Linked DNA regions of Sus scrofa. The protein of the gene in region 5 purifies or fractionates together with the protein of the main gene of each other region. This does not show direct contact. Links are inferred from orthologs where the notes say so. Each region holds a gene or a part of one and is shown on either strand. Other genes may lie near its edges. The genes, in order: EPB41L5, NAP1L4, CAPZB, RPL23, UBE2O and RECQL4.

Evidence for each region.
Region 1: the proteins of UBE2O (region 5) and EPB41L5 purify together in Homo sapiens (affinity purification with mass spectrometry; 3 studies listed by BioGRID and IntAct, counting the BioPlex papers as one, with this or other methods). This does not show direct contact. The link is inferred for Sus scrofa from reciprocal best matches to the Homo sapiens genes UBE2O and EPB41L5.
Region 2: the proteins of UBE2O (region 5) and NAP1L4 purify together in Homo sapiens (affinity purification with mass spectrometry; 3 studies listed by BioGRID, with this or other methods). This does not show direct contact. The link is inferred for Sus scrofa from reciprocal best matches to the Homo sapiens genes UBE2O and NAP1L4.
Region 3: the proteins of UBE2O (region 5) and CAPZB purify together in Homo sapiens (affinity purification with mass spectrometry; 3 studies listed by BioGRID and IntAct, with this or other methods). This does not show direct contact. The link is inferred for Sus scrofa from reciprocal best matches to the Homo sapiens genes UBE2O and CAPZB.
Region 4: the proteins of UBE2O (region 5) and RPL23 purify together in Homo sapiens (affinity purification with mass spectrometry; 3 studies listed by BioGRID and IntAct, with this or other methods). This does not show direct contact. The link is inferred for Sus scrofa from reciprocal best matches to the Homo sapiens genes UBE2O and RPL23.
Region 6: the proteins of UBE2O (region 5) and RECQL4 purify together in Homo sapiens (affinity purification with mass spectrometry; 3 studies listed by BioGRID, with this or other methods). This does not show direct contact. The link is inferred for Sus scrofa from reciprocal best matches to the Homo sapiens genes UBE2O and RECQL4.

Annotation. Positions count from the first base shown.
Region 1 is NC_010457.5:31,285,063-31,289,641, reverse strand, and holds part of EPB41L5 (band 4.1-like protein 5), read left to right. Parts: intron 1-338; 5' UTR 339-346; coding exon 347-526; intron 527-4,579. UniProt on the Homo sapiens protein: Plays a role in the formation and organization of tight junctions during the establishment of polarity in epithelial cells.
Region 2 is NC_010444.4:2,079,163-2,083,741, forward strand, and holds part of NAP1L4 (nucleosome assembly protein 1-like 4), read right to left. Parts: intron 2,166-4,579; coding exon 2,026-2,165; intron 621-2,025; coding exon 475-620; intron 1-474. UniProt on the Homo sapiens protein: Acts as a histone chaperone in nucleosome assembly.
Region 3 is NC_010448.4:77,793,848-77,798,426, forward strand, and holds part of CAPZB (F-actin-capping protein subunit beta), read right to left. Parts: intron 3,183-4,579; coding exon 3,041-3,182; intron 2,704-3,040; coding exon 2,587-2,703; intron 1-2,586. UniProt on the Homo sapiens protein: F-actin-capping proteins bind in a Ca(2+)-independent manner to the fast growing ends of actin filaments (barbed end) thereby blocking the exchange of subunits at these ends.
Region 4 is NC_010454.4:23,277,899-23,283,223, reverse strand, and holds the start of RPL23 (60S ribosomal protein L23), read right to left. Parts: upstream 3,260-5,325; 5' UTR 3,234-3,259; coding exon 3,221-3,233; intron 2,645-3,220; coding exon 2,561-2,644; intron 2,263-2,560; coding exon 2,134-2,262; intron 1-2,133.
Region 5 is NC_010454.4:5,099,267-5,103,845, reverse strand, and holds part of UBE2O ((E3-independent) E2 ubiquitin-conjugating enzyme), read right to left. Parts: intron 4,569-4,579; coding exon 4,458-4,568; intron 1,817-4,457; coding exon 1,719-1,816; intron 1,313-1,718; coding exon 1,249-1,312; intron 65-1,248; coding exon 1-64. UniProt on the Homo sapiens protein: E2/E3 hybrid ubiquitin-protein ligase that displays both E2 and E3 ligase activities and mediates monoubiquitination of target proteins. Negatively regulates TRAF6-mediated NF-kappa-B activation independently of its E2 activity.
Region 6 is NC_010446.5:285,610-290,951, reverse strand, and holds the start of RECQL4 (ATP-dependent DNA helicase Q4), read right to left. Parts: upstream 3,747-5,342; 5' UTR 3,692-3,746; coding exon 3,608-3,691; intron 3,544-3,607; coding exon 3,510-3,543; intron 3,382-3,509; coding exon 3,281-3,381; intron 3,054-3,280; coding exon 2,913-3,053; intron 2,558-2,912; coding exon 1,769-2,557; intron 1,694-1,768; coding exon 1,567-1,693; intron 1,463-1,566; coding exon 1,355-1,462; intron 1,248-1,354; coding exon 1,116-1,247; intron 1,031-1,115; coding exon 938-1,030; intron 859-937; coding exon 722-858; intron 346-721; coding exon 262-345; intron 179-261; coding exon 1-178. UniProt on the Homo sapiens protein: An ATP-dependent DNA helicase which unwinds dsDNA with a 3'-overhang in a 3'-5' direction. Does not unwind more than 18 bp of dsDNA. May modulate chromosome segregation. The N-terminal domain (residues 1-54) binds DNA Y-shaped DNA better than ss- or dsDNA.

The DNA.
Region 1 (4,579 bases), on a different chromosome or scaffold from region 5:
GGCTTTGTCTCCTAATGTTTGGCTATCGTACCTATAATTTATTGGCCCAAAAGACCTGATGAACTTCATGAATGTTTGCCCCTCTCTTACTAGATTAGTGCCCTATAAAATAGTCCAGAAAGTTTAGAAATGCTTTAAGCCATAGTTCTATTTTGTGTTACAGTCTTTAAAAATTATGAATTAAAGTAGCCAGATTTATTGTCTTTAAATTTACTTGGCCAGGTGCTCTTTTTAATAACTCATCTGCTAATGTTGACAGAACTTTCCTAAATGACACCATCTGTCTGACTACAAATTGTAAGGAGACTTCTGATACCTTTTTCTCTCTGGTTTTGTAGTGACCAAGATGCTGAGCTTCTTCCGCAGAACCCTCGGTCGGAGGTCGATGCGTAAACATGCTGAGAAGGAAAGGCTCCGAGAAGCTCAGCGTGCTGCCACGCACATCCCTGCGGCTGGAGATGCGAAGTCTGTCATCACGTGCCGGGTGTCCCTCCTGGATGGCACTGATGTCAGTGTGGACTTGCCGGTATGTAGGTCTTGCTGACCTAAAGATTCTCCCTGGGGTCACTTTTCTTCTTCTGAGCTTTCCACCGCTAACTTCCAGAGGGTTAGGTAACATGGGCTCCCGTGGATCAGGTAGCCTTAGACACCTGGAATGAGAGTATTTCCCTGGGATTAGTGGCAGTTAACTGAAACTTTCAAGTGTTAGGGCAATTACTGGCATGAGTCTTGTATGTGTGACAGCAGTATGGAGTGTACTCTAGTGGATTTCTCACAATCCTTGTTGAGCTAGGATTAAAGCAATAAGAATCTTTGGGGACGATAATGATACTTATGTGGATACTATAAGACTTTTAGTTCTCGATATTTTTTTGTAATTTTCAAAACACTCCTTACTTTCCTTAAAACAAATAATTCCTCCAGTTTGATGTGCTTGCTGAAATTTTAATGAAATGAGGTGAGTAAAAGGACTTTCTTCATACTCCTCAGCTCTGGCTGTTCTATCTCTGTTCTCAAAGTAGTTTGCAAAGTAGGTTTTTCCATACAACCTGTTTTTCCATACATATGCTGTAATCTTTTTTTCAAGAGTGGATGTTACAGTTATATCACATTTTGAGATTTTTTTGCAGTTATGAATAATCATAACTCAAAGTATGAAACAGTCCAATATATTTGAAAGGGGCTAACGTATTCCTTACAGGTCTTTTTTTGAGGGGAGTGGAAGAAGTAGCTGTATGGTTTGGGGGAAGTTGAGTTTTTTCCCGAGCTGTCTGCTCTTTGTCCTGTATTAAAAGATTTACGTAACCAAGCTGTAAAATGTGTGAGCTGAGGTGTCTTTGAATCTTCCACATGTCTTCCTTCCCCACAAACGCTTTTTACTACATACTCATTCACCCAAAATGCAGTTTAAAAAAATCTCTTTGTGCAGCAGGATAGCCTGGGTGTTGCTGCATTACAAAGTTGAATAAGCTCTGCAAGGCCTTAAACTCACAGAGTGAGAGATTAAAGAGTTGGATGGTTTGTTTAAATGAACATTCTGATTGATCAAGTAATTTAGAATGACTAAATATGTTCCTTATACTTTTTTTTTTTTAAATAATGGAATATGAGGGAGTTCCTGTAGTGGCCCAGTAGGTTACAAACCTGACTGGTATCCATGAGGATGCGGGTTCTATCCCTGGCCTCTCTTAGTGGGTTAAGGACCCAGCGTTGTCATGAGTTGTGGTGTAGGTTACAGACGCGGCTCAGATCCAGTGTTGCTGTGGCTGTGGTGTAGGCCAGCAGCCTGCAGCTCATATTTGACCCCTAGCCTGGGAACTCCCATATGCCCAGGAGGGCCCTAAAAAGAAAAAGGAAAAAAAAAAGGAATATGGTAAAATTAAGAACAGGATATCTTGAAATGTTTTGAAGTCATCTTTTTGAGTATTATATTTGTACAGAAATATTTGTATACTGTCTGAAAGACTTTAATGCATTTAAATTTTCTTCCTAAGGGTTTGTCAGACATTCTAATATGTGATACTTTGTGAGGGTAGTTTTCACATTCATTTCTTAATTTGATAAGGATCTTAAGAGTTTTGTGTACTATTCCATTAAAATAGCATTAGGTATGTGGTCAAAAGCTTGAGATTGCTGTATAAGAGAGTGGAAAGAAGTTTCTTATTACCTAATGTCTGAAGTATGAAGTCTCAAGGTGATTGATGGGGAGGCTGATACCAGGAAGGTGGAATTTGAAACGGAGTTTTTTGAAAAGGTGACATAGTGTGGATGAGAAAGCAGCACTGGGTTTTAAATAGTGGAACATAGTGGAACAGACGGCTAGTGACTGGTATGAAATGGCTTCCTTTGCCTCAGGTGCTCAGTAAGCAGGTGTGTGATGCTTGATCAAGGCTAGAAATGTTGGCTGGCCTCACATGCAGACAATTGCTGTGAAAAAGCCAAGATTTGACTCTTTGTGGAACCAGAACAATTAATTGCCTTTTCAGCTCTGCAAGCGAAGTATTAGTATGCTCACTCTAGGTGCTTGTATGGATATAAAGTGGGTGTTTCCCTCCCCGCCACCCCCCTCTGCTGAAATGCCTTAGTAAAGACAAGGGCTAGAGGAATACTCATTTCTATGAAGAAAGGTTTTCTCTTTCTCTTTTCTTTTTTGGCCGCTACACAGCATATGGAGTTCTTGGGCCAGAGATCAGATCACAGTTGTGACCTGTGCCACAGCTATGGCAATGTTGGATCCTTTTACCCACTGTGCCGGGCTGGGGATCAAACCTTCGTCCTGGCACTGCAGAGATATCACTGATCCTGTTGCGCCACAGTAGGAACTGCAGTTTTTTTTCTCTCTCTCTCTGTTTTTGTTTTTGGTTTTTTTTTGGTTTAGCTTCTTAAACAGTCTAGTATGGTTCTGAAAGAAGATTTAGAATTGATCTTAGAAATTGAATGAACACATGCTTATTTCCTATTAGGATGAGGGTCACTACTGATCTTAGCAAGCAGCATGAAACTAAGATGATCACCCAGGCAATAAGTAAGGAATTATCTGTAATTAAGTAGAGAAATTTAGATCTAGCCACCTCAGGTTAATATACACTAGTAGTAATAGTTAATTTCTTCTCTTTCCCTTTCCTCTCAAAATTAGAGGAGGGGATTTAAATACCTTCTACTTATTTTTTTAAAGGAACTAATATAGTGAGAATGCCTTTTGGTAAATGATGATGGCATGAGGTAGAAATTTCTAATCATCTGATTTTAGAATTTACTCTTTGGAAATGCTGCAGTAACTCATTTGATTTAAGTTATATAGACTATTATACCTTTAAATAAATGTAAAAAATTCTATGTTCACAAATTGGAAGACTTAACATTGTTAAGATGGCCTTACACCCAAAACTGACTTGCAGATGCAATGTAATCCTACCAAGGATATCACACACCTTATTTGTAGATGTTGACAAGCTGATTTTTAAAATTCATATGGAATTTCAGGGGGCCCATAATAACCAAAATAATATTTAAAAAGAACAAAGTAGCAGGGCTTATATTTCCCAGTTTTAAAACTTACTTATAGGGGGTTTCCTTTGTAACTCAACAGGTTCGATCCTTGGCCTTGCTCAGTGGATTAAGGATCCAGTGTTGTCATGAGCTGTGGTGTAAGTCGCAGATGTAGCTCAAATCCTGAGTTGTTGTGGCTGTAGCGTAGGCCAGCAGCTGCAGCTCTGATTTGACTCTTCACATGGGAACTTCTGTATGCTACAAGTGAGGCTGTAAAAAGCAAAAACAAAACCAAAAAACCACGAAACCTTACTATAAACCTTACTATAAACCTTACTATATAGTAATCTGGATAGTGTGATTTGTTGGTGCAAGGATAGACATGTAGACCAATGAAACAGTATAGGAAACTGAGAAATAAATCCATAGAGCTATGGGCGATTGATTTTTGACAGGTACCAGAGCCATTCAATGAGGGAATGAATAGTCTTTTCAGCAAATGGTTCTAGAACAGGATAGCCATGTGCAAAAGAATAAAATTGGAACCTTAACTCATACATTGACAAAAATTAACTCAAAGCTGAGTTCCCTGGTGGCCTAGTGGGTTAAGGATCCGGCAGTGTCACTGCTGGGGGGTGGGTTTGATCCCTGGCTTGAGAATGTGCATGCAGCTTAAATACCCAAAAAAAAAATTAACTCAAATGGATCAAAGTCCTAAACATAAGACTATAAAACTCTTATACAGGGATAAATCTTCATGACCTTGGATTCATTACCATTTTCTTGGATATGACACCAGAAACATGAACAACAAAAGAAATAAATAAATCAGACATTATCAGGATTATAACCTTTGTGCCCTGGAGACATCATGAAGAGGGTGAAAAGGCTCTTGCAGAATGAGAAAGTATTTGCAAATTATATATCTGATAAGTATCTAGAACATATAAAGAATTGTTAGAACCTAGAGTTCCCATTGTGGCTCACCAGGTTAAGAATCCACCTAGTATCCATGAGGATGCACATTTGATCCCTGCCCCTGCTCAGTAGGTTAAGAATCTGGCGTTGCTGCCAGCTTATGGTGTAAGTT
Region 2 (4,579 bases), on a different chromosome or scaffold from region 5:
CACAAATGAACTGCGGAAACAAACGAGCAAAACCAAGTCGTGGAAAACCACCCCAAGAGTAAAGACACAACGGACTGGTCACAGGGACATGAGGTCACACGGGAGAGGACGCCACCCTGCGGCCCCAGGCCCACCAACTGCCTAAAGCAGGGCCCGCACCTCTTCATTGCAAACTGGTTTTTGTTTGGGGAAAATAAAGAGGAAGTGTCTGCCCCCACAGCCACACCGGCACACGGCCGGGAGCTCTGGCCCTCCAGTTCTCCAAGTCAGCTGCTCAGCCTCCACTAGCTCGAAGGGTCCGTCTCCTGTTTTAAAAACTAGGGGGAAACAAGACGCTTCCAGGCCAGGGCTCTGCCCTACGTCTGTGCCTGTCACAGGATACGTGCGTCCCACCCCTCGCCTGCTCCATCAGGGCAGCAGAAAGACCCGAAAGCCAAAGGGAGCGCGCGCCCCGCGCAGCCCGGGCGGGCTCACCTTTGAGCGGGCTGAAGAAGTTGAAGAAGGAATCGCTGGGGACCTGCTTGGTGATGGTCCTGACGGTGCCTCGGCCCTTGTGTTTCTGCTTCTTCTTGATGGTTTTCACCGTCACGTTCTTGCCTTTCTTCCAGTCAATGGCGCACCTACAGGGACGAGACGGCGGTCACGGGGTCGCCCTCCCTGAGAAAAACCGGCCACGTGTGCACAGCCAGCACCCCCGGCTCCAGCCTGACCGGGCGGCCTCCTCCGACAAGCTGCCAGCAAGCGCTGCTCCCCGAGGGCCTGCAGGACCCCCGGGCGGGTCGCGGCGGGCCGTCCCGGCGGAGGCGGGCTCCGGCAGGGCTCTTCCTGAGCCCGAGGCCGACGAAGACCTTGTCGCCTGCTGTCCCCTCACAACTCTCAGCCCGTGAAGCTACCTACTCGGGGACCCGAAATCTCCAGGTGACGGAGTGGCACCAGCTGGAGAAAGCAAACAGGAGGCCGCTGCAGACCTGGCCACCCGCAGGCCTGCACGCTCCGGGGCTGCCGAGCACACTGGCGGGGACCGCGAGCAGCGAGCTTTCGGGCTGCATCACGGTGGACCACAGGTGCCACCTGGCATCGGACACGCCCGGAGAGCCAGCCTTCTCCCACGATGGCCTGGCCCTGGGAAACGACCCGTCTAAATGACTGGCTATTCGAGCCCAGAGGATTTGGACTGAGTTCTGCGTTACACTGGGGATTCGTAAAGCTAAGTGTTTGGTTCCGTGAGTAAGAGTAACCTTTTCAACCAAGCATAAAACAATTCCGGAGTTCCTGTCGTGGCGCAGCAGAAACAAATCTGATCAGTATCCATGAGGTTGCAGGTTCGATCCCTGGCCTCGCTCAGTGGGTTAAGAACCTGGCATTGCCGTGAGCTGTGGTGTAGGTCGCAGACGTGGGTCAGATCTGGTGTTGCTGTGGCTCTGGTGTAGGCTGGTATCTGTAGCTCTGATTGGACCCCCTAGCCTGGGAACCTCCATATGCCCCAGGTGTGGCCGCTGAAAAAAACAAAAACAAACAAACAAAAAAACCCAATTCCCAAACCGTCTCAAACCAACCAAAGGGCATCAATCACCTCCAAACCATTCTCTCCTTGGTGACGCATCTGGACTGAAACCAGCAAGGCGCTCATCGTGCGGCAAACAGCACGCAAACTGCCCACCAGGCCCACAGCGAAGCTACTGCCCAGTACCGCCCGGCTCGGCCCAGTGTGGGCACCGCCACCCACGCCACAAGCCTCTGCTGCGAGGAGTCCGCGAGTCAACGATCAGCGCTGCACCAAGGTGACGAGAAAGCCCCACGCCCTCGCCCAAACGAGGGAACCAGGCCGCCTCTCCAGACCCTGGCACGAGCGACACACGCGCCATTTCCCAGCGCTGGCCATCACCTCCCCACTTAGACGGCTCGTTTATTCCAATCTTTGTCCACTGGGCTTTGTGCTTTATTCTTAAATTCTATCTTACTTGTAAAGCTCTAAAACCATCGGCTTTTTTCTCAGAAAGGGAAGTGGAAAGGGCATTTCCTTACCCGTCACAGTCAACTATTTCAGGGCCTTCAAAGGAAAAGGGATCGGCCTTGTCCGGCTCTGACTTCATCTTGTACGTCTTGGTCAGGACTGAGTTGCTGAAGTAGTCGTTGGGCTCAAAGTGGAATTCTAACACGAAAGACTGAGAACAAAGCCCGGGTAAGTACCGCTTAGGGTCCTGAGCGGCCGTCTCGGGACCCACACAGCACCTCCTGGAAGCCAGCCCCTCCCCAGGCACGCCGCTCCCCGCAAACCTCGCAAGGGGCCGCCACGGCGACAACTCCAGCGCAAAGTCAAGACGTGGCGGCAGGCGGGGAGCAGCCGGCACCCTTCAGTGCGCGAGAAGGGGCACGGGCGGCTCTGACAACCCGGCCGGGGGAGAACGAGCTCCCCCGGGGAGTGGCACGTCTCCCCGCTGCCCCGCCTCCCGCGAGGTCAGTGGGGCGGGAGCTGGAGGGAGCACGCGGGCGTCAGGGAGCCCCGACTCAGGGGCACAACCCCACGTGGGGGAGAAAAGGAAGCAACGAGTGGGCCTCTCCCGACCACGGCAAGGACGAGCTTGTCCTTCGCTCACCAGGCATCCTGCACATCTGGAGCCAAGCACCGGAGAAGTGGGGACAGAGCAGGTGTAAGGACAGAGCAGCAGGAAGAGAGCAGCGGCAACAAAGAAGATACTCACGCTCTTAAATAACAAAGCACAAGAAAAATAAGGAGTTCCCGTGGTGGCGCATCAGACACGGATCCGACTGGGAACCAAGAGGTTGCAGGTTGGATCCCTGGCCTCACTCGGTGTGTTAAGGATCCGGCGTTGCCGCGCGCTGTGGTGTAGGTCGCAGATGCAGCTCGGATCTGGCGTTGCTGTGGCTGTGGTGTAGGCCGGCGGCTCCAGCTCCAATTGGACCCTCAGCCTGGAAACCTCCATATGCTACGGATGCAGCCCAAACAAGAAAAGAAAAATAAAATGAGACGCCCCGTCTGAGCAAAACGTCCAAAGCACACCCAGGACTGGCAAGTGCTCTGGGAAGCCGGGAGCACTCGTACCCCGTGAAGGGCTCTACAGGGGCAGCAGCGAACATTAACCAGCTAAATCGTCTGGGACTGATGAATTGCGCTTTGAGGAATTTGCCCCGGTTGAGAAAGACACTAGGAAGGATGCGGCGACCCGGGGGGAAGACGTCCACCCCCGCCCCACTCATAAAGCCAATGGCAAGCCGGGCTCGGCGCACGGCAGAGGCGGTCGGTCCACAGGACCAAGTCTGGGTTCAAATCCCACCTCTGCCCATCAGTGCTGTGTGACTCTGGGAACTTACGCACTGTCTCTGGGCTTCCATTTCCTCACCTGTGAAATGGAATAAACAACCCTCTCCCTCCACGAGTTGACCTGAGGATGAATCTATGGAAGCCCTTAGAACAGGGCTGGCTTTACAAGCAATACTTGCTGAATGTTAGCTCTTTCCGTTTTTATTCTAATGGTACAACCATCACGGAGGAAAAACTTCTTTTAAAGACCAAAACCAAACCACTTCCACAAAGGGAAGTGGAAAAAGAAGCCTCCAAAGAAGGGGTGGTGCTTGTCTGTGCTTAGCAAGCAGACAAGGGCTCCGAGGGACGGGGGCAGTCCAGCAGGTGCCCAGAAGGGAGGTGGCAGAGTCCGGCCAGGTCTCCACTGACCTCAGGCAGGTGGTGTGGGCTGGAGGGGAAGGGGCTCAAAAAGCCCCTCAACAAGTTGCTGGTCCAGTGAGGACAGAAGGCAGCTACGGGGACCCCAGAACCTCGGGGGACCCCCACTCCAGACCTCGACCCCAGCCCCCTGTAAACAGGATCTTTCGGTTGCCCCTGAAGCAACATTCAGACGGAAGGCAGGAGGCCGTCAGCGGAGAGACCACCGCTACTGAGAAGTGCTTTGGGCCATGACCACAGGTGTGAACAGGCCACCCAGGGGACATGGCACTGCGACACCGCTTCCTTCATCGCTCCCTAACTTCTGTCGGGACAGACTACCTACTTTCCTCCTTCTCTCCCCGTTTCCCCCCTGCCGTTTCTCCAAACGAAGGGTGCTATTCCTTTCTTCCTATTTTCCCACTTTTCTCCTTTCCCCAGGCCTCGGTTTAGTCGAGAGAAAGTCGAACACAACCGGGGGTGACTTACAGGGTGTCAACGGCCCAGCAGAAAAGGGCCCAAGGGTGAGGCGGCCTCGTCCACACACGCGCCTACAGCCAGGTCAGCCGTGGAGGTGACTAATGGACAACGGCTTCCCAGTGAAGTCTAAGATTCTCTCTGTCCTGCCCGGCAGAGGCAGTGCGGTTGCTACTTCTCTGCCAGAAGACTCATGCTGAGCAGAGCAGGTGGTGGTCCCCAGCCACGGCTGCCACGGGTGCCCTGAGCCGACCCCACACGTGTAGCAGAGGACACGGGGGACTCTCTGTGCTGCCACTGCAGCCTGCCCCAGGCCTGACATGACTTGAAAGCATAAAAAAACAAACCACTACCACCAGCACCATCAGGCACACAAACTGAATAACTCTGGGCTTCCTAAGTGTTCACGTGCTCGGGCCC
Region 3 (4,579 bases), on a different chromosome or scaffold from region 5:
AGTAGGCAGGTGTGAGGCAGAGGTTAAGACAAGTCCGCTTCAGAGGAGGCAGCACCTTCCAGTCCAAGCACCCAGTTCACCTCAGACACCCCTGGAAGAGACACCCCGGAGATGAGCTGCTCAAGACACCTATGCCTAAGAGCAAGAGACGGGCACACAGCAGCTGTGACACTGTGACTTCTACGAAATATGTATTTAGTCATTCAGATGACCGGACTGTATTCCTCATGGACATCTGGTCTTCATCCATGGTTCCTGGCTCACAGCTCTCAAACCTTTGGAATTTCCTGAGCGGGGAGAGCAATGGGAGCATCTTTTGTTCTCTTTGGTCTCCTGTTCTCAGTTCCTAAAATCAATTGCTTCGGGGCCAGAAAGAAAAACAGGTGCCTTGTCACGCATAACAAACCCCTTTTCACCACAACTGGGTTTATGTTACTGAGGCGACTTCTGGAAGGCACCTAAAGATGGGGGCTGGTTGCCAGGGGAACCAACCATGAATAGAGGGGTGGTGGAACCTGTAGTCCACTAGGGGAAGGCAGGGGCTGGAGAGTGAATCAATCACCGATGGCCAATGAGTTAATCTGTCATGCCCCTGTAATGAAGTCCCACAAACCCCCACCAAGGATGGGTTTATAAAGGTGTCCTTTAATATCCTTTGTCATAAACTTGCAATCTAATGAATAAATGGGTTTCCCGAGTTCTGTGAGCTGCTCTAGCAAATAAATTGAACCCAAGGATGGGCTTGTGGGAACCTGGTGTTTGTAGCCAGTAAGTCAAAAGCACAGGTGACCACCTGAATTTGCCATTAGCGCCTGAAGATGCATTCAGGGAACGGGGGCAGTAGGTCTCGTGGGACTAAGTCCTTAACCTGTGGGACCTGAGGCCACTTCTGGGTAGGGCGTCAGACTAGCAGGTGAACTGTAGGACACCCTGCTGATGTCTGCTTCGTGGTGGCATGGGGAACCACCCCACAAGAAGGAATTGGGTGCAGAACCCCAAAGAGTAGCACTCGTCAAATTTTACTGTGCACACAAATTATCTGGAGAGCTTAGTGAAAGGCAGACCCTGATTTGGCGGGTCTGGGTAGGGCCAAGCTCCCTGCATTTCTGACAAGCTCCTGGGTGGTGCTGATGCTGGAAGGTGCCCTCCAGCAGAGGACAGGCTGCAGAGGAGAGGCCCTCAGAGTGCCCACCTTCCTGGTCAGGACGTTCATGACTAGAGATGGGAACCAGGGCAAAGCAGTGCTTCTCACTGCTTCAAAGGAGCCCAAGGTGCAGAGACGCACTGAGCCCTGAGGGTGAGAAAGAGCCAGGGCCGACCCTGCAGTCACCTGGTCCTACTACGGCAGGGAGCCAGCAGGCGGTGTTCAACCACAGGGAGCTCAAATGCATCTATCTAGAAATGTGAACTCTATTTCATGGTGGCTCGAGCTGAACAAGCTCAGCTAAAGACAAGTGCCCTAGAAGGATGGTTATCAGACCCATCCCTCCGCCCGTGGAAGTCTTTGGTAGCCATGCTGGAGGGCTCTGAATTTGGCCTTGAACTACTATGGAGACACCAAGTCATCTGAGTTAACATGCAGGGAACAAAGCCGGAAGGAAGACCTAACACCTGGACGACCGAAAGCGAGATGTGACTATCCGTCCCTGGCAGAATGGACAAAGACCAAAACGGGAGGGCCCAGGTAAAAACCTCCTTTTAAGAAAGGTCAGTGGCACAAGAACAGAATGGGAAATCCCTGGCCTCGCAGTGATGCGTGGGAAAAGAGGTGGGGGTACCCGCCCCTCCCTTGATGGTGATTCTACTCCAGGGAATCAACACCCCTGTTCCATCTACTCCACGGTGGGTAGTCACCTGACTCCGGCCTCAGGAAAGGACTCTGAGATGGACGGTAACCCGATCCGGCAGTGAGATGCTGCCTCCAGGAGCTCCCATGTGGGGATTCAGGGACCTGCCCCCATCGTTTGTGTCTAACACCCAGCCGGGCTGAATGAACTCTGAAACCGACAACTTCGTGAGCAGACCTGTTTCCGTTTTTGCTTAAGTCAGAGTTTTACTTCTGTCACTTGCAACCAAGAGCCATAATACATAATCTAAGTCCCAACTTGACTTAATTACAATTAATTAATCCATTCTAAAACGTTACCAGTAGAATGTCCTACTTTTTTTTCTTTTGCTTTTCAGGACCACACCTGCGGCACAGGGAGGTTCCCAGGCTGGGGGTCGAATCGGAACTACAGCTTCCGGCCTACATCACAGCCATAGCCACATGGGATCTGAGCCAAGTCTGTGACCTACACCACAGCTCACGGTAATGCCGGATCCTTGACCCACTGAGCAAGACCAGGATTGAACGCACAACCTCATGGTTCCTAGTCAGATTCGTTTCCGCTGCGCCACGACAGGAACTCCTGTCCTACATGTCTTGACCCGAGATAAAGCCTTCCGTTACTGAATCTCAGGAATGACTCACCAACAAGCCTGTGAGGAGGTCAGGCCCCAGGACATCTCTGCGGGGACACCCACCCGCTCAACTCCACACATGGCCAGCTCTGAGGCCGCCTCCCTGGGCCCTGATCACTCTACCTGTCTGGTAAGGCTTCCTCCGAGGTTCATGGTGCCAGAGCCAGATTTGTTGGTTTGCAGCCACAGCATCACCGTGGAGGTCAGCTTGTAATGCGCGGTGCGACCGCTGGACTTTTCCTGCAGGACGAGACACAACCCTGAGCTGAGTAGAGCCTGAAGGGGCCCATGAATTCAGGTCCTCCTAACATGCCCCCTCCTCAGAGGTCACCACGGCCTGACCTTCTAACACCCCAGCTGGTTTTTAAAGGGACCGAATCTGCAGTCATGTGTATTCAAGTTCTTTGCTGATCTTTTTCATCAGTGACTACTGTGTTCCTGACCTATCTTTATCCAAATGGCTGTGGGCACTTTAAGGGCCCAGCAGGGGTTTACCCGTCACAGAAACTCCCCATCGAGAGGCACCTGCTAGAAAAGAGGCTGCGCCGCTGGGGCCACCAGCTGCGGGGAGCTGTACCTGCACTTCCACCACGTGGATGGAATCCCAGCAGCCTTTGATCTTCTTTGATCCGTCTCCAGCCTTCTTTATGAGGATCACGCCAGCGAAACCGTGATCCAGATCCCAGAGGTAGACAGATGAGACACCGCCTTCAAAATACCTGAAGGAAACAGGCCCAACTGCCCATTAGATGTTAAGCCCATCAAATTACAAAGCATCAGCCCAGGTCCCACGGGTTGCCATGTGGCAAAGATTCATCTAAATGCCCGTCTCGGATTAAGGACCCTCCCTACAGTGGTTCCAGGGTTGACACGCGCATGTGTCCTGATCAGCGCTGGCTGCGGGGGGGACAAAGCACCCTTTGGTGGGGGGGGGGTGTCACAGAAAGAACACGGAATTAGGAGTCCTAAAGATGAACTGGAGTTTGAGCAGCCACTTACGCTAGTTCTGTGGCCTTTGGCAAGCTTACTAAACACGAACCTTCGCCAGGCTTCACATTCCTTCCAGATGAAGTGTGTGACATGTAACAGATACTCAATGGGAGTATACTAGTGAGTGATCACTGTTGTTGGATATTCCTATCCTTTGGGATGGATATTTTACAGGAGATAAGGAGGAAAAAAACAGAGCAACAACGCTCTGCTCATAAAGCTGTTCTATAGTGAAAAAATACACATGATAAATGCTATGTTTAGAGAATGTGTGTAAAGGGTATAAAGGAATTCCTTGTACTCTTTTTTGAGTAATTTCACTGTAAATCTGAAACTCTCTCAAACTAAAAAGTCTTTGTATAAGAGATTGAAAAAAAAAGTCTCTGTACAAAGTCTAGAACGTGACATACACCAGGATGTCACCAAGAGACCATCGGACAGAAGAAGCTACCCCTCCTCCCGCTGCTGAGCTGCAGGGCACCACCGCTCTAACCCACTGCAGGCCTGCTGGGCGCCCCAGGGTCCACACCAAGGTCTGCTCCCCTCGCACCCTCCCCACCAAGGTTCCTCAGGCAGACTGTCCCCATGTGTTACCCTGCACCCTCCACCCCGATTACGCCATCTGTCTCCCCGGCCAGGCGGCCACGGAAGGCAGGTGAGGGCAGGAGGATGTATGAGGCGCCGGCCCTGGGGCTGAAAGGCATCGGACAGACTGAGGGTGGCGAGGACTCTGCCTCCAAACCAGTGCCACAGAGTGCAGAACTGCGAAGGGGAAAGCTCGAGAATCAAGAGCTCGGTGCCATGACAGGTGACCTCCAGGGAACAGGACACTCAGGGACAGGACACTCAGGGACCCCACTCAGGAAGGCTCTTTCTCTTGTTCTGAATCTTTCTCCAAACCCTACACAGGTAAGTGTTTTGGTTTAGCACCTGAGGCCGCATCTCCGTCCATCAGGCCGCCCTGGTCTGGCCCAGCCCTGCAGGGAGCTGGACACACCACGGCCTGTCCTGGGACATGTGGAGGCACATCGGTCACCTGGGGACCTGAGCTCTCGCTCAGGTTAGCGGGCAGCAGGGCCTCCAGGAGCCCTTCCCACTTGCTCTCCCGGACTAGGGTGACACACCA
Region 4 (5,325 bases), about 18 Mb from region 5:
TGTTTCCGCTGCACCACGATGGGAACTCCTATATGCCACATTTTGTGGCCCTAAAAAGGGGGAGAAAAACCAAACACGTTGCTTCAACCAACCTCAGGCAATGCAGCATAGTAACATATACTTAATGGAAAAAAAAAAAAAAACTATACTTAAGTGGACGCATGCAATTCAAGGGTCACCTGAATTCATTTAGAAGAAACAAGGACCAAAGCATTATAGTTGAAGTGTATGTTCTCTCTGTCCCACACTGATTGAGACAGACAGCATATCCTGCTGCCATCTCACTCAGTGGTGGCCAATTGCTCTGCCCTTCTCTGACAGCTCCCCAGGCCACAGATCAGACCCAGCAAGTGTTCTAAGAGGAACGCCTGTCCAGCTGCATGCTGATCCCGATCTACACATTGGTTAACTGATGTTTAACCACAAAGCTACTTATTCCTTGTCTCCCAAGCCCTCAAGTGAGTATTGGAGGCAAACAAAGTAAGATTTCTGACCAAAAGGCCTGGGAGTGGGATGCAGGCCTACAGTGACACAGGCCAGACACCTATCACATTTGTACTGCATATCGAGATGGCTAGGGGAGTTCCCTTTGTGGCTCAGTGGTTAACGAACCCGACTAGCACCCATGAGGACTTGGGTTCGATCAGTGGGCTATGGATATCTAGCATTGCCATGAGCTGTGGTGTAGGTTGAAGACATGGCTCAGATCCTACGTTGCTGTAGTTCTGGCGTAGGTCAGAGGCTACAGCTCCAATTCGACCCCTAGGCCTGGAACCTCCATATGCTGCTGATGTGCCCTAAAAGACAAAAAAATAAAAAGAGATGGCCAGGACTTCTCAGGAAGAGCAAAGACACCCCAGGGCAGAGAAAAACTAAGCAGGCACAGGAGAAAATTCCAGGAACTGAGCTCAAGTGCATTGAGAATCAGAAGCTCTAAACGTCTAAAGAGAGTAGGTCAGAGGTGCCGAAGTCCTGCCCAATTGGTATACCTAGTGATAAAACTTTTGGGGGTAGCCTGATGATTAAGCAATGAACAGCTGTTCTAGTTTCTACTACATATCATTGTTTCTTTTCAAATTAGTAGTTTCAGGAAAAGAAATTTGCCAGAGGTAGACATTAAGTTTTAAATCTGTGATCTCACCTGGTTGAGCTCAAAACACACCTACAAAAATGTATTTACCAAATACCACCATGTTCATTTGCAGCCAAGGAATTTATTATCTACAGACAATGCTTATGGAACTCAAGTAGAAGAGACAGCTCTAAATGTCACATGCACAAATTACCACCTGGTTTAAGGGTTATGTGGAGAGGGGAGATTGGGGTAAGGAAAGGTGTCAACAAGGTTGTGAGCTGAAGATGAGACTTAGCGAATTCCTGGTAGAAAGAACAAAGGAATAGTAAGAGCTGAGGAACACACCATGAACCTGGGTATTCTAAAAGGATAAGCTTTTGCTTTCATAGGTATGTGAGGTGGTCTGTAACTCTCTGCTGAACTTGCTGGGGAAATACCAAGGTAAATATGTGGAACCCCCAGCTTAAGATGGAAGCCAACTGAGAACTGAAGTACGGGAGTGATAGGATTTACATTTTAAGGAGTTCCTATCATGGCACAGCAGAAACGAATCCAACTAGGAACCATGAGGTTGCGAGATTGATCCCTGGCCTTGGCCAACGGGTTAACAATCTGCGGTGGCTGTTAGTTGTGGTGTAGGTCGCAGACGCAGATCAGATCCTGTCTGATTCTGGCATAGGTTGGCAGCTGCAGCTCCAATTCGACTCCTAGTCTGGGAACCTCCATATGCCAGGGTGTGGCCCTAAAAAGCAAAAAAAAAAAAAAAAAAAAAAAAAATTTAAAGATAGGCTTTGGCTTCAGTGTAGCAAACAAATTTAAGCAGTAAGGGAGGAAGCTAAGATTAGAGAATGATGTCTAAAGACAGCAGGAACAGAATTTAAATTGCAGGTATTTATCTTACAATGTCTTTCAAAGGAAATCAAGCATTAAGAGGCCCTGAGAGGTTAAAAAACAAAACAAAACAAAACACACACCAAACTATTGCTTCATTCTCCAATAAAGGGAGAAGTGGTTCAACGGTCCAGAAACCATAAGGAAGATTTGGTCTGTCTACTCACCCTTCTTTCTGAGCTCTGGTTTCCCTTTCTTGACTGTGGCCATCACCATGTCACCCACACCAGCAGCAGGAAGTCTATTCAATCGTCCCTTGATCCCCTTCACAGAAATGATATAGAGGTTTTTGGCTCCTACGAAAGGATGTAAACAAAAATGGTCTTTTTGAAGGGCCGATTAGGCAGTCCTGCATTTCCGACACTTCCAAGGCCTCTCTCTCCACTCACACCCCCAAGCGGTTCCACTCCCCCACCAGGTGAAATAGTTTGTCACACCACCGATTGAAGCAAAACAGCACAACTTGCTGCCGCTTCACCCAAAAGTGGTGTTTTTACTGTGCCCTTTCTTGGCGGCTCAGAAGGTCACGAGCAAAAGGCCCTCTGAGTGCTTTTAGAAAGGGGAATTTGGCAGGGTTGCAGCTTAAGATCTCACCCGTGTTATCAGCACAGTTGATCACTGCTCCAACCGGAAGACCCAAGGAAATCCGGAACTTAGCACCAGAGGACCCACCACGTCCTGTTAGTAGGGCGACAGAAGAGAGATCACTGTCCAGTCATGGTTCGGAGTTCCCTTCGCATTCTCAAGCTATGAATTCATTCGCATGTGTTTTGGGAAACGGTACACTATAGATTCGATTTCTCTAGGATTCCACTTACCCCCTCTCCAATGCCACTCAGTTCTCAGGGCAAATATCCAATTCCTCCCTCCTACAACCTCACATTGAGATTAGGGGGCCTGGACGACACAATTCCCGATCCAACTTTTGTACCACGCAGTTCTTCCTCCAAGGCGGGAGACCGCACACAAGTCGCCCGCTCTGCGGCTTAAGCTAGCCTGACTCCAACACCATTACTGCAGTGCTAGGCGCAGGGCAACCTCCCGGGGGATTCACGACTAGAATCACGACTGGATCCTGCCAACTCAATCCTCCAGGCCCCTCCGCCATTTCGGGGACTGTCCTGGTGCCCATCCACTCCCTCTCCGCCCCAAAGGAAAGCAGAGTGCCCCAGCTGCCCGTCGCCGCAGCTCCGGGTGAGGCCAGCAGCCACTTCGCGACAGATGGCGAAGGATCTCCCCAAGCCAAAGCCTCACCTCGCTTCGACATCTTGATGGCCCGACAAGGACGAAAAGGAAGTAAGAACAAAGGACCTTGGGATATGAAGCCGACGCCCCGCCCATTCAGGTCACGTGATCCAGAGTTGCCGTGTCCGCCCCTTCCCCGGGGCGTTCTCTTATTACGTCATAAATCGTGGACGTTGCCGTCTCTCGCTTCGAAGTGGGCAGTGGAATCTTTGAAGGCTACAGAAGAGAAAGAGTGCTTGAGTACCTACTGTACGAGTTGGAAAGTAGTTGTTGGGGACACAGAAACATTGGTTTAATTTATCGGACAACCTCTTCTGAGCACTAAGTGTGTACCAGGGATTTCGATGGACGCTAGAGGTTCAGAAATGATTAAAACATCCGTGCTGTATAAGGGCCCCCAAAAAACATGTGGCGGGGGGGGCGGAGTGAGAAAGAGCTCGAAATAGTTTCATTAGGATGTGATATAACTGAGAAGTGCCATTCCAGCGCTACAGATAATTCCTTATATGTGTGCTTGGTCCCACATTCATCTATATTTTAGAGTCTTGTTTTACTCATTACTCTTTTCATTGTTTGTCTTTCCCATTCTTCAAAGGAGCTCTGTTGATATAGTCATTCAAATATTTATTGAATGACTATTTTATGCCAGATACTGTCTTGGACATACACTAGACTACGTCAAAGGAAACAGATCTCTCTCTCTCTCTCTCTCTCTCTCTCTCTATATATATATATATATATATTTTTTTTTTTTTTTTTTTCTTTTTGCCTTTTCCAGGGCTGCTCCCATGGCACATGGAGGCTCCCAGGCCAGGGGTCCAATCAAAGATGTTGCCGCTGGCCTACGCCAGAGCTACAGCAACGCGGGATCTGAGCCGCGTCTGCAACCCACACCACAACTCACGGCAATGCCGGATCTTCAACCCACTGAGCAAGGCCCGAAACCTCATGGTTCCTAGTCCGATTCACCAACCACTGCGCCAAAATGGGAACTCCCAGATCAATATTCTTGACCTTAGGAAGCTTACATTCTGCCAGGGTGGCAGTGAAAGTGGATATTAGATACTAAATCATAGATGTAATAATTGCACTATATAGTATGTTAGATGGTTTAAGTATTATGAAAATAAAAGTAGAAAAGGGGGATCTGGGAGTGGGAGGAGGGGCAGACTGCAATTCAAAATCAGTGGGGGCTTCATGGAAGAAGTGTGACCTTAGTGCAAAGGTTTTAAGCTGAGGGACAATATGATTGTCTAGAGAAGAGCAATCCAGATAGAGTCATCAGCCAATGAAAGGCCCTAAGGCAGAAATGTGCCTGAGCGATATGAGGACCAGCAAGGAACCTAGGAGTGACTGGACAGAGTAAATGAAGGGAAAAGTAGTAGGACAGAAGGTCAGAAGTAATGGAACTTTAGGTCATTGTACACCGCTATTGACTTTGATATGTACAGACTGAAATGGGAAACGGTTAACTCATAAGCATTGAAGGGACATGATCTGAAAATATGTCAGAAGGATCACTCTACTTGAGACTAGAGAGAGCACAAAGATACAAGTAAGGAGGTCTATTGGGAGGCTCTTGCAATAACCCAGGAGAGAAAAACGGTGGTGGTTTGGACTTAACGTGCTAGCAGTATAAGTAATATGATGTGATCAGATTCCAGATGTGTTTCAGAGGTAAAGCCAACAAAGTGTGGGGGTGTTAAAGAACGAGAAGAATAAAAAATGAGGAATTTCCGTCTAGTGGAAATGAATCTGACTAGCATCTAAGAGGATACAGGTTTGCTCCCTGGCCTTGCTCAGTGGGTTAATGATCTGGCATTGCTGTGAGCTGTGGTGTAGGTCACAGATGCAGTTTGGATTCAGCAGTGCTGTGGCTGTGGCGCAGGCCATCAGCTACAGCTCCAACTTGACCCCTAGTCTGGGAATCTCCATTCCGTTTGCCTCGGGTACGGCCCTAAAAAGACAATAAATAAATAAATAAATAATAAAAATAAAAATGTTTCCAAGGCTTTGGGTCTGAGCAAGTGGAAGATGGCATTGCCATCAACTGAGCTGGAGAAAGCTATGGGAGGACTAGGTTTGGGGGTATAAGTAGGGGTTCAATTTTGTAC
Region 5 (4,579 bases):
TCTTGGCAGGGCCGATGAGCACCTGGCCTGGGTAGAAGCCGTAGGAGTCATCGAAGAAGAGGCCCTGCAGGATCGGGGCCGGAGGAAAGTCCCTGTGAGCGGTCCTCCTGGGGGACGGTGCTCCCCACCTGCACCCCATGCTGTCCACACGCCACCTCCCTAAGGCTCCAGGGCAGCACCTCCCAGGCCTCAGATGCATACAAATAATGCCCGCGGAGCCTATAAAACGCACGTTTGAACCGTCCTGCTGCTAACGAGCTCTCAGGCCACAACAACGGCACTGTCCCAGGGGCAACACTTTCAGGACCAAAGCTCTAGACGGCAGGGGTCCTTGAAGCTGTCTGAGCCCCTGTATTTTCTTTCCTTTTTATTTATTTATTTTTGTCTTTTTGCCTTTTCTAGGGCCACTCCTGTGGCATATGGAGGTTCCCAGGCTAGGGGTCCAATTGGAGCTGTAGCCTCCGGCCCACACCATAGCTCACGGCAACAAGGGATCTGAGCCGGGAACTCCCCTTTTTATTTTTTAGTTAAAAAAATCCTTTTTTCTTTTTAGGGCCACACATGGAAGTTCCTAGGCCAGGGGTCAAACTGGAGCTGTAGGAGTTCCCGTCGTGGCGCAGTGGTTAACAAATCCGACTAGGAACCATGAGGTTGCAGGTTCGATCCGTGGCCTTGCTCAGTGGGTTAAGGAGCTGTGGTGTAGGTCACAGACGGGGCTCGGATCCCACATTGCTGTGGCTGTGGCGTAGGCCAGTGGCTACAGTTCCAATCAGACCCCTGGCCTGGGAACCACCATATGCCGCAGGAGCAGCCCTAGAAATGGAAAAAAGACCAAAAAAAAAAAAAAAAAAAAGTCATGCTGTAGTAAAATACTGCATACACACTAAGAGAAAGGGAGATCTTGAAAGGATGAGATAAAAAGTTAACGAGCTGCAAAGTTCTACTTTCTACACCTAAACTTTTACACCTTTTATTTTGCACCCTTGGTGTGTGGAAGCTCCCGAGCCAGGGCTTGAACCTGTGCCACCAGGCAATTGCTTTTACGCGTTCAGATACACAGCCGCCCTTTCCTGGGAAAGCACTGGCCTACTGGCCTAGAAGCCCTGGCCAGCCGGCCTGGGCCTGCCCCAGCTCTCTGCGGGTGCCCCCCTGCCCCCCGCCCCTAGCTCTCTGCGGGTGTGCCCCTCTGCCCCCCACCCCAGCGCTCTGCGGGTGCCCCCCCGCCCCCCTTTGGATAAGCAGACGTACAGAGTCGCTGACATGCGGGCAGACGTCGTAGAGCTTAGCGCCGTCTTCTGTGTTCATGGAGCACCTGCAACAGGGAACAGGGCTTGGTCTGCACGGGGACACCTCACAGGAGGTGAGGCCAGGGCCCCACGCGGTGCCGGTCGGTATCCACGGGGTGGCCCAGGGGCGTCAGTGTGTCAGCTGCCCTAAAGAGGCACGATTCATCCTCTGGTAAAAGCGACTCTCCTAAAACAAAGAGCCGCTAACCCAGAGCTGCGTCTTCACGAGCATGAAGTGCCCACGGCAGCCCCTGCCAGGCATCCTGGGTGACAGGGTGGAGCGAAGCCCAGAACCCGAGTCAGAGGGTCAGGCCCGGGAGGCAGCCCGGCTCGGCCCTGGAGGAAACCCGTCACCGCAGGCCCCGAGATGACACCGCGCCCCCTGCCCAGGCTGCCCCGCCGAACAAGGGCGCGTGGCGACGCGAGCCGCACCTGGCGCCGTTGGACAGCTTGAGGATGATCTGGTTCTTCAGGTCGTAGACCTTCCCCAGCCAGCAGTCGTAGGCGATGTAGTCCCCATACATGAAGGGCTGCAGACCGAGGGGACAGGGGTTGAGCGACGGCCGATGGCGCCGGTGTCCAGGGCACCCACGCCTCCTGGCAGAGCAAGGCTCTAGATGGGCTGCACCCGCCAGCCACCGCAGCAGGCTTTCCCCACAAAGGTCAGCCGCACCCCAGCTCCCGTCCCACTCAGAGGCAGAAGCCTGACGGTGTCCAAGGACAGAGGCCACGTGAGTGGGAGCGGCTTACACCGACCAACGAGACGAGGGGTGTGAGTACACAGAGAGCCACACGGAGAAGTCCAGCGGCGAGCCCCTCACCACCGGGAAAGGCAGGGGCGGAGTCTGAGGTGCTGGACTGGAGGTGGAGGGACTGAGACGAACTCACACGTCTCAACGCATACACAGAGCAGGCAGGGACATACTCAGACATGCGTGTGCCCACGTGTACACACAGACGTGTGTCCTCAGTGCTGCCCTGAAGGGGGCGAGTGGCAATCAGCACGCCCAGCCTGCAGCCAGAGCTTGGCCTTTGCAAGGCCCTTCTCTGAAAGGAACCGGGGCTCCTTGGAGAAACGGCTGATGCCAGGCTGGATCAGAAAACAATACAAGACGGGAAGAAGGTGCCGAAGAAAAAAATGGTGAGGACATTGTCAAAAGGGCACAGGTGCCAGCTTGGAGGGGGTCCTACTGGCCAACTCTGAGATCATTTATGCAACAAAACAAATAGTGGTAGTAACTTCACAACCAACTGAGTAAGGCAGGTGTCTCTGCACCCTACTGATGTAAAAAAAACAAGAGTTAAGGGGCAGGAGGTCCCGCTGTGGTGCAACAGGATAGGCGGCGTCTCCGCAGCGCCAGGACGCGAATTCAACCCCGGTCCAGTGCAGCGGGTGAGAGGATCGGGAGCCGCCGCAGCTGCGGCGCAGGTGGTAACTATGGCTGGGATCTGATCCCTGGCCCAGGACTCCGCGTGCCGTGGGACAGCCAAAAAAGAAGACAAGAAAAAAGGCATTAAGTGGGACAGAGGACACAGCTCTTCCACACAGCAGACCGAATCATCAGCGCCAGACTAACAAAGGCAGGCAGGCGACGACGGGAGCAGGACACCACCCCTCAGCGGCCATCCGAGTGCGGGCTGGTGCGGGGGGGACTGTAGGTGGAAGCGAGGCGGGGGGGGGGGCTTGGAGAAGGGCCAGGTGTTGAGCATCTCCCCTCAGAACTGATACTACCACTTGCAAAGGGGCGAATGCTGACCTTCTGAAGAGGCTTGGCAGAGCCCAACACGACCCAGGAGCAAAGCATGTCCCTACAGTGTGGCTGTGGGACGTTCTGAGCCTGGGAAAAGCCCAGTTCTGCTGAGAATGTAGGGCCCGAGGCTGGACACGAGGCCCCAGCAGGCAGCTCCCCACACAGGGTCACCCAGGATAAGGAAGACAAACAGGACTGGGGGACTGGTCCAGACTGGAGGAGATTAAGGAGCAGTTAAAGGCAAGAAGGGTTCCTGATGGAATCCTTGGCTCGGCGGGGCAAAAGGATGTCTGTCACCAGGACAACTGAAAAGGAAGGGTTAGGGTTAGGGTTAGGGTCCCGGTCTGCGGGCTGAAGGGTGGTTAAAGAGGAGACTGTTCCTGGCGTTCCCGTCGTGGCGCAGTGGTTAACGAATCCGACTAGGAACCATGAGGTTGCGGGTTCGGTCCCTGCCCTTGCTCAGTGGGTTGACGATCCGGCGTTGCTGTGAGCTGTGGTATAGGTTGCAGACGCGGCTCGGATCCTGCGTTGCTGTGGCTCTGGCATAGGCCAGTCGCCAAAGCTCCGATTCGACCCCTCGCCTGGGAACCTCCATATGCCTCGGGAGCGGCCCAAAGAAATAGCAAAAAAAAAAGAGACTGTTCCTGTTTGGGGGAAATATACACACGGTAGTATTTAGGGGTCACAGGGCATCCTACCTGCAGCTTGCTTTCAAGTATTTCAGCAAAGTGGGAAAGAGAGAGCGCAAGCGAGGGAGGGAGAGATGGCGGGGGGACAGGTGCCGGAGCAAACGGAGCGAAATGTGTGCGCTGAGGAAGCTGGACCTGTAATTTCTCAGTTAAGTTGAAATCATTTAAAAAATAAACTACTGGAAAGATACTTATTCTTTAAAAACAAAACACAGGCGTTCCCATCGTGGCGCAGTGGTTAACGAATCCGACTAGGAACCATGAGGTTGCGGGTTCGATTCCTAGCATCACTCGGTGGGTTGAGGATCTGGCATAGCTGTGAGCTGTGATACAGGTCACAGCCGAAGCTCAGACCCTGCATTGCTGTGGCTGTGGCTGTGGCTGGCAGCTACAGCTCCGATTCGCCCCCTAGCCTGGGAACCTCCATATGCTGCAGGAGCGGCCCAAGAAACGGCAAAAAAAAAAAAAAAAAAAAAAAAGACCAAAAAAAAAAAGTATGTGAAAAAACAAAATACACCAAAACAAGGCACTTGAGGAGAGAGGAAAGCAGCAATCTCTGCTGGAGACCGAAAGACGTGTCCTGACCTCGGGTCTGAATGGCCGACGCACGAGAGGCGCCAACCAGGCTGCAGGGAGCGAGCCGGCCGCTGGGCTCTGCCGTCTGACCTGGAAGGTGCAGGACCTCTGCGGCCCGAGAGGACCGGAGGCCCGAGGGCGGGCGGGCGGCTCACCCAGATGTGCTGGAGGTCCCGGCTGTTGACGGGGTAGATGATGCAGTTGGTGCCGATGAGCTTGACGGCGCAGTCGATGCTGACGTCCATCACAGTGCCGCACTGGCTGTCCTGGGGAGGAG
Region 6 (5,342 bases), on a different chromosome or scaffold from region 5:
TGCAGACTCGCAGGTAGCAGGGCCGGAAGTTGTGAGACCACTGAGAGAGGCAGTGGGCCTCATCGATGCAGGCGAAAGCAACCGGGGGCAGCTGGGTGAGGAAGGCAAGCCCCGCTGCTCCTGCCCCAGCCAGCGCCTCTGGCGACAGCATCAGCACTTGTACCTGGGCTGATCGAGCCTGAGGGTGGCAAGGTCAGGACAACTGCACAGGGCCTCCAGGGGACTGCTCCCTCTGCCCATCTGGCCCTTAGGCCCCCTTACCTTCTGCAGGGCAGAGTTCCGCTGCTTCTTCGACATCCCTGAGTGGATGCAGGCCGCCTTCAGGCCTGGGGGCAGGCCAGACACCTGCAGATACAGGAGCATGATGCCACCCACCCTGGCCCTTCCCCACACAACTCTTAGGATGGTTTGGCCTGCCAACCACTGCTCTCTCAACTTCGGGCCCTCTGAGGAGAAGAAACCTAGATCCTGGGTCCCACGACTCAGGGTTCAGAGCCACCTGCGGGCCTGATGCAGGAGCACCAGGAATAGACAGGTAGTGGGGGGGGGGTGTCATTCCCCCAGTGCCGTTCCTCCTGTTGGGGGGCCTGGGGCTGTGAACAGCCAGGCTCTCTGCAGCGCTGGGTGGGGCAGAGCAAGAACCAACAGCCCAAGTAGGTTGACGGAGCGGTGGCTACCCATTCTCACCTTCTGCATGTGCCCAGGGGCCCTGTCCACCCACCTGGTCATCCATGAGTGACATGAGGGGAGAGATGACCAACGTGAGGCAAGGGCTTCTCCGGGAGTAGAGCAGCGCAGGGAGCTGGTAGCACAGAGACTTGCCACCCCCTGTGGGCAGCACCAGCAGTGTTGACATACCTGGATGTTTCTGAGGGTCAATAGTGCCACCCTGTGGCCGGCCTTGGCCCCACCACAGCCCCCTGCCAACCAAACTGACCAGACAGGATCCGCATGACCACGTGCTCCTGTCCAGGGTTGAAGGCTTGGTGCCCCAGCTGCTCCAGGGCCTGGAACACCTCGGCTGGGGTGTCTGCAGGCACAGGTGTCAGGCGGTATGGCCCCGAGACGCCCCCACCTCCTCAGTAAAGGCACTGGGATGGTAGGTGGCTACTCACCTGCCACCTGCCCTGACGGTCCCAGCGGGTAGAGTGGGGGCACGGGAGGAGGTGGTGGACAGGGCGCCCTGGGCATAGATGACTGCATGGGCACTGACAGCTCAGGCCCTGCAGGCTCTGTGTCTTCCTCACCTGCCAAGAGCAGACAGGACAGGGTAGCACAAAAGCTCCAGGCTGGTCTGGGCTCATCCCGGAAAGGAGGCCACTTGCTCCAACCTCTTGTCCGCTCCTTCACGCACCAGGAAGTTGGCAGCAGGTGGTGCCCGTTCTCTGGGGTACTTCCTCTAACATGGGCAGAGTCCCTGTGTCATCCTCATCCTTGCCACCCTCCTTCTGAGGGGCAGGCTCTGGACCAGAGGTAGGGAGTTAGTAGGGCTTTTTGCTGGAGACAGAACTGCCTCCCCTTCCAAGCAGTGTGGGCTCAAGCAACCACCCAAGGCAGAGGCCTCACCTGGTTGAGGGCACTGGGATGCCCAGTGACCGAGCTGCCCACACCGGAAGCAGGAATCCTTGGCTGTGGCCCTGGGTTGACCACCCCCAAAAGACTCTCCTTTCTTCTGCCACTTCTGCTTCCACACCTGGCAGGGACACAAGAGAGTCACAAACCGAGAAGTAGGATGAGTAAGAGGGAACACCTGGCACCACCTCCTTACCTGCCTGCGGAGGAGCCTGCTACGTGGGGCCAGGCCCCGCACATAACGCTTCTGCTTCATGTTGAGCCGCACATAGTTCCCCCTGTCCTGGATGGCGGGTCTAGAAGAGATGCACAGGTGGGCTGTGCGCGATGCCCACTCGCCTTGACTTAACGGAAGGCAACCCCGCTTGGGGCCAGAGCAGGGATACCTGGAGGTGGTGGGGTTGCTGAGGGGCTGTGCCCGCACAGGCTCCTCTAGACAATCTTCTGTGTGCCCTGCAGCTGCAGCGCCCTCAGGTGGGGGTCCTCCTTGGTTACCATCCTGCTGGGGCTGTGCAGGGCTCCCCTGCAGCTCCCAACTCAGTCTCCGCTTCTTGCCTTGACTGTTACCAGGCTGGGGACTGCCTGCACTGACACCAGCTGCTTGTGGCGCTGGAGCCTCTGGGCTTAGTAAAGGTACCTTGGGGCCAATGCTGGGACTGAGTACACACGGGACACCTGAAGTCAGCTGTGACTCCTCTGCATCCCCGCCAGGCCCGCGGGCCCTGGGGACCCCCGGAAAATCTGGGGTTCCACTGTGACACCGCTGCAGCCAGCCAGGGTCTAGGGAGCTCAGCCGCAAGCTTAGGGATGCCCTCAGCTCCTGGAGCCGGCCTGACCTCAGCTGGGTCCTGGGAAGCTGGGAGGGCACCTTGCCGACTTCTTCTGGAGAAATGAGGGCAGCCGCTGTGCCTGGAGACCCTGGGGAGGACTTCTTGGAGAAGGGTGTTCGTTCAAGCCGAGGTACTCGGCCCAGGGCTGGCCCGGTCTGGGAGGGAGACAGGCAAGCAGGAGCTCAGGCCCTTGGGCTGCCGAAGCCTGAAACCTGCTGGAGTCTCCACCGTAACACTTGGGTGAGAACAAGACTGACAGGTGAAGAAAGGAAGCTGAGAAAAGGCTGCCCTGAACTCTTCCGAGGAGTGGTGCCCTGGTTAACGCTGGAGTTGTGTGTGTGCATGTGCAAGCTGATGAGCTTGTGTGGAGGAGTTCACAAGGACGGGTACCTGGTGATCTGCCCTGGGGCAACAAGCAGCTCTGGAGATAGGTTCGATGTACTGCCTGCCCAACCTCCCCCCCTTTTTTTAACTCAAAAAATTTTTTCCTGCCCAACCCTCACTCCTCACCTGCAGGCTGTCCTTTAGGTTGGCCTTAAGCCTCTTCCCATAGTCCTGCACAGATCCCTGAGGGATCAGCCTTGAGGTAGAATGGGGAGTCTGGGTCGCAGCCCGATTCAGGTGGGGCCCCCAGCAGCTGGGCTCCAGCGTCTGCAGGATGAGACAGTACTGACCTAAACTACGGAAAAACCGGCGTGGGGCCAGAGGTGTCTCCAGCCACCTCCCGCACACCCGCGCCCTGAGACCTGGGGGGGGCAGGGCAGGCCTTGCTCCACCCTCTCCATCCTCCCCCCAAGTTCTGTGTCCTGGGCCACGGCTCCTCGTGGCACCGGCGTACAGGGAGCTGAACGAGAGGTTCAGATGTCCAGCCCGGGTACCTCTTCGGCCGCCGCGGAAAGCGAACGCCCCAAGCTGTTAGGCCTGACGTCGCCGGCCTGGCCCAGGGTCTCCTTCAGAGCGCGGTACTCCCGGTAGAGCGCTGAGAGCGGGGTCAGGGGAGTCGGTGTTCAGGAGTCAAGACTCCGGCGGGGGTGCGGGCCGCTCGTTCACCCACCAGCCCCCGCCCGCGTCCCCAGGGCTCCCTCCGCCCCGCGCCCGCGCGCTCACCGCGGGTCTCCTCTGGCGCCGCCTCCACGTCCTCCTGTAAAGGGAGCGCGTTAGTCTGAGGCGGCACCCTCAGCTCCCCGCCCATGGGTAGCCCGCACCTGGCCCGGCCGCCGCCCGCGCTGCCGCCGAAACGCGCGCTCCCAGGCCTGCAGACGCTCGCGTATATCCCGCAGCCGCTCCATGGCAGCCCCGCTTGCCGCGCCCAGCGAATCTCCCGCCGGGAGGGCGACGCCGGCCGCCAGCCAATGGGGGCGCTCGGCGGGGTCGGAGGCGGGGCGGCGCGGCGGCCGCCGGGCCGGTGCAGCCTATCCGCGGAGCTCTGGTGCGGCAGCCAATGGGCGGGCAAATACATCATCGCGGCGCGCGGCGGCGCTGGGCTGGGGGCGACGTACGGCGAGGCGGGGCCGTCCGCGGTGGTGGCGGCTGCGAGGCTAGTGAGCGTTGGCCACCGGCCGGGGACGGGGCGGGGCGGTGTGCGTCCTGGCTCTTCCTGGCCGCACTAGGCGGGCGCGGGTAGCCGGGCCGGTGCCGTCCGGGAGGCGCAGGCAGGAGCCCGGGCATTGCGGCTGCGGAGTGGAGAGAACCCGGAGCCCGGCGCCGGGCTAAGCGGTCTCGGGTCTCGGGGGGCAACGCACAGGCTTCAAGGGGTAAGACCCGGCGCAGGAGGCGGAGGGCGTCGGATCGAGGGCCTCCCATGGCTCGAGGCTTGGAGGAGCCGAGCGGGGGCGTCCTCGGGGAAACGCCTGAGCCGCGGGCCCGCGGGAGGGGGCGGCGGCCACCGCAGAGAAGCTCCTCCCACGGTGACCATACTGGCTGCTTTCGTTTCCTCTCGTGACAGGTGCTTGGTTGGTCTGTCCCGTCGCTGCGAGGTATGACTCGTCCTCGCGAGATTTGTCCACAGGCGGAGCCTGGCAGAGGGTTGACGTCCCGGGCTCCTCAGGAACCAGTGCCCTAAGGACTTGTGTGTGAGGTCCGCAAGAGAGGGGCTCTGGGGCTAGGCTGCCACCCTTCCCGAGCTCATCACCCAGGCTGTGACCTTTGTGGGGAATGCCTAGGTCTTAGTTTTGTCATCTGTTTCCAGGGAGATGACCCGGAGGCAGTTGTGAGGGTGAGGTGCCTGACGCACAGTAAAGAGGCCCTAAGAGGTTCCCCTGGCGGGTGAAAAGAGGGTCCCCTGAGAGGTTCCAGTTAAGCGGGCTAACTGTTGCTGCTGCTGAAGTCAGCAGCAGAGCTGACGCCCAGGTTTACTGTGGCCTCAGGCATCTCCTCTTTGCTCCCCGGAAGCTTGCGTGTCCTTCTGGCCTCCGCCCATCTGAGCAAAGGCCTGGGTCTGGGGCCTTTGAATCCCACTGGTTTGAGAATTGGTCTCTCAACAGGGTTTTCCAGGGCTGAGAGAGGTGTTTAGACAGGTGGCAACAACCTCCTTCTTGCTTCCGTAAATTTGCAGGGGTCTCCGTGCCTCATGATGCTCCCGAGAGATACCACTAGAAGTGAGGCTCATGTCAAGGGCTTGGGTTACTCAGGCCCTCTGAACTCAAAGTTCCCTGGATCCTGGTCCTTTCTGCCTGCCTTGGTGTTTATTAAGTTGCGACTGTACAGGCAACTCCTCTTTGCGGTGCAGCACAGAATCTAAGGGTGGCCTGCAAGGGCTTCCGAGGAGGCTGGGGGAGGGCCCTGTGATGCACCTTCCAGCCCCCTGGGATTCTCCCATCCGTCTAGTACTTGTGTGTAGGGAGAGGGGCCTTAGATTTTTCCTACTTTTCAGGAAGGGAAGATATGGCTTTGTGATTGGAGAGGCTTGAAATACAGAGGCGGGGCGGGGCTGCAGAGCCA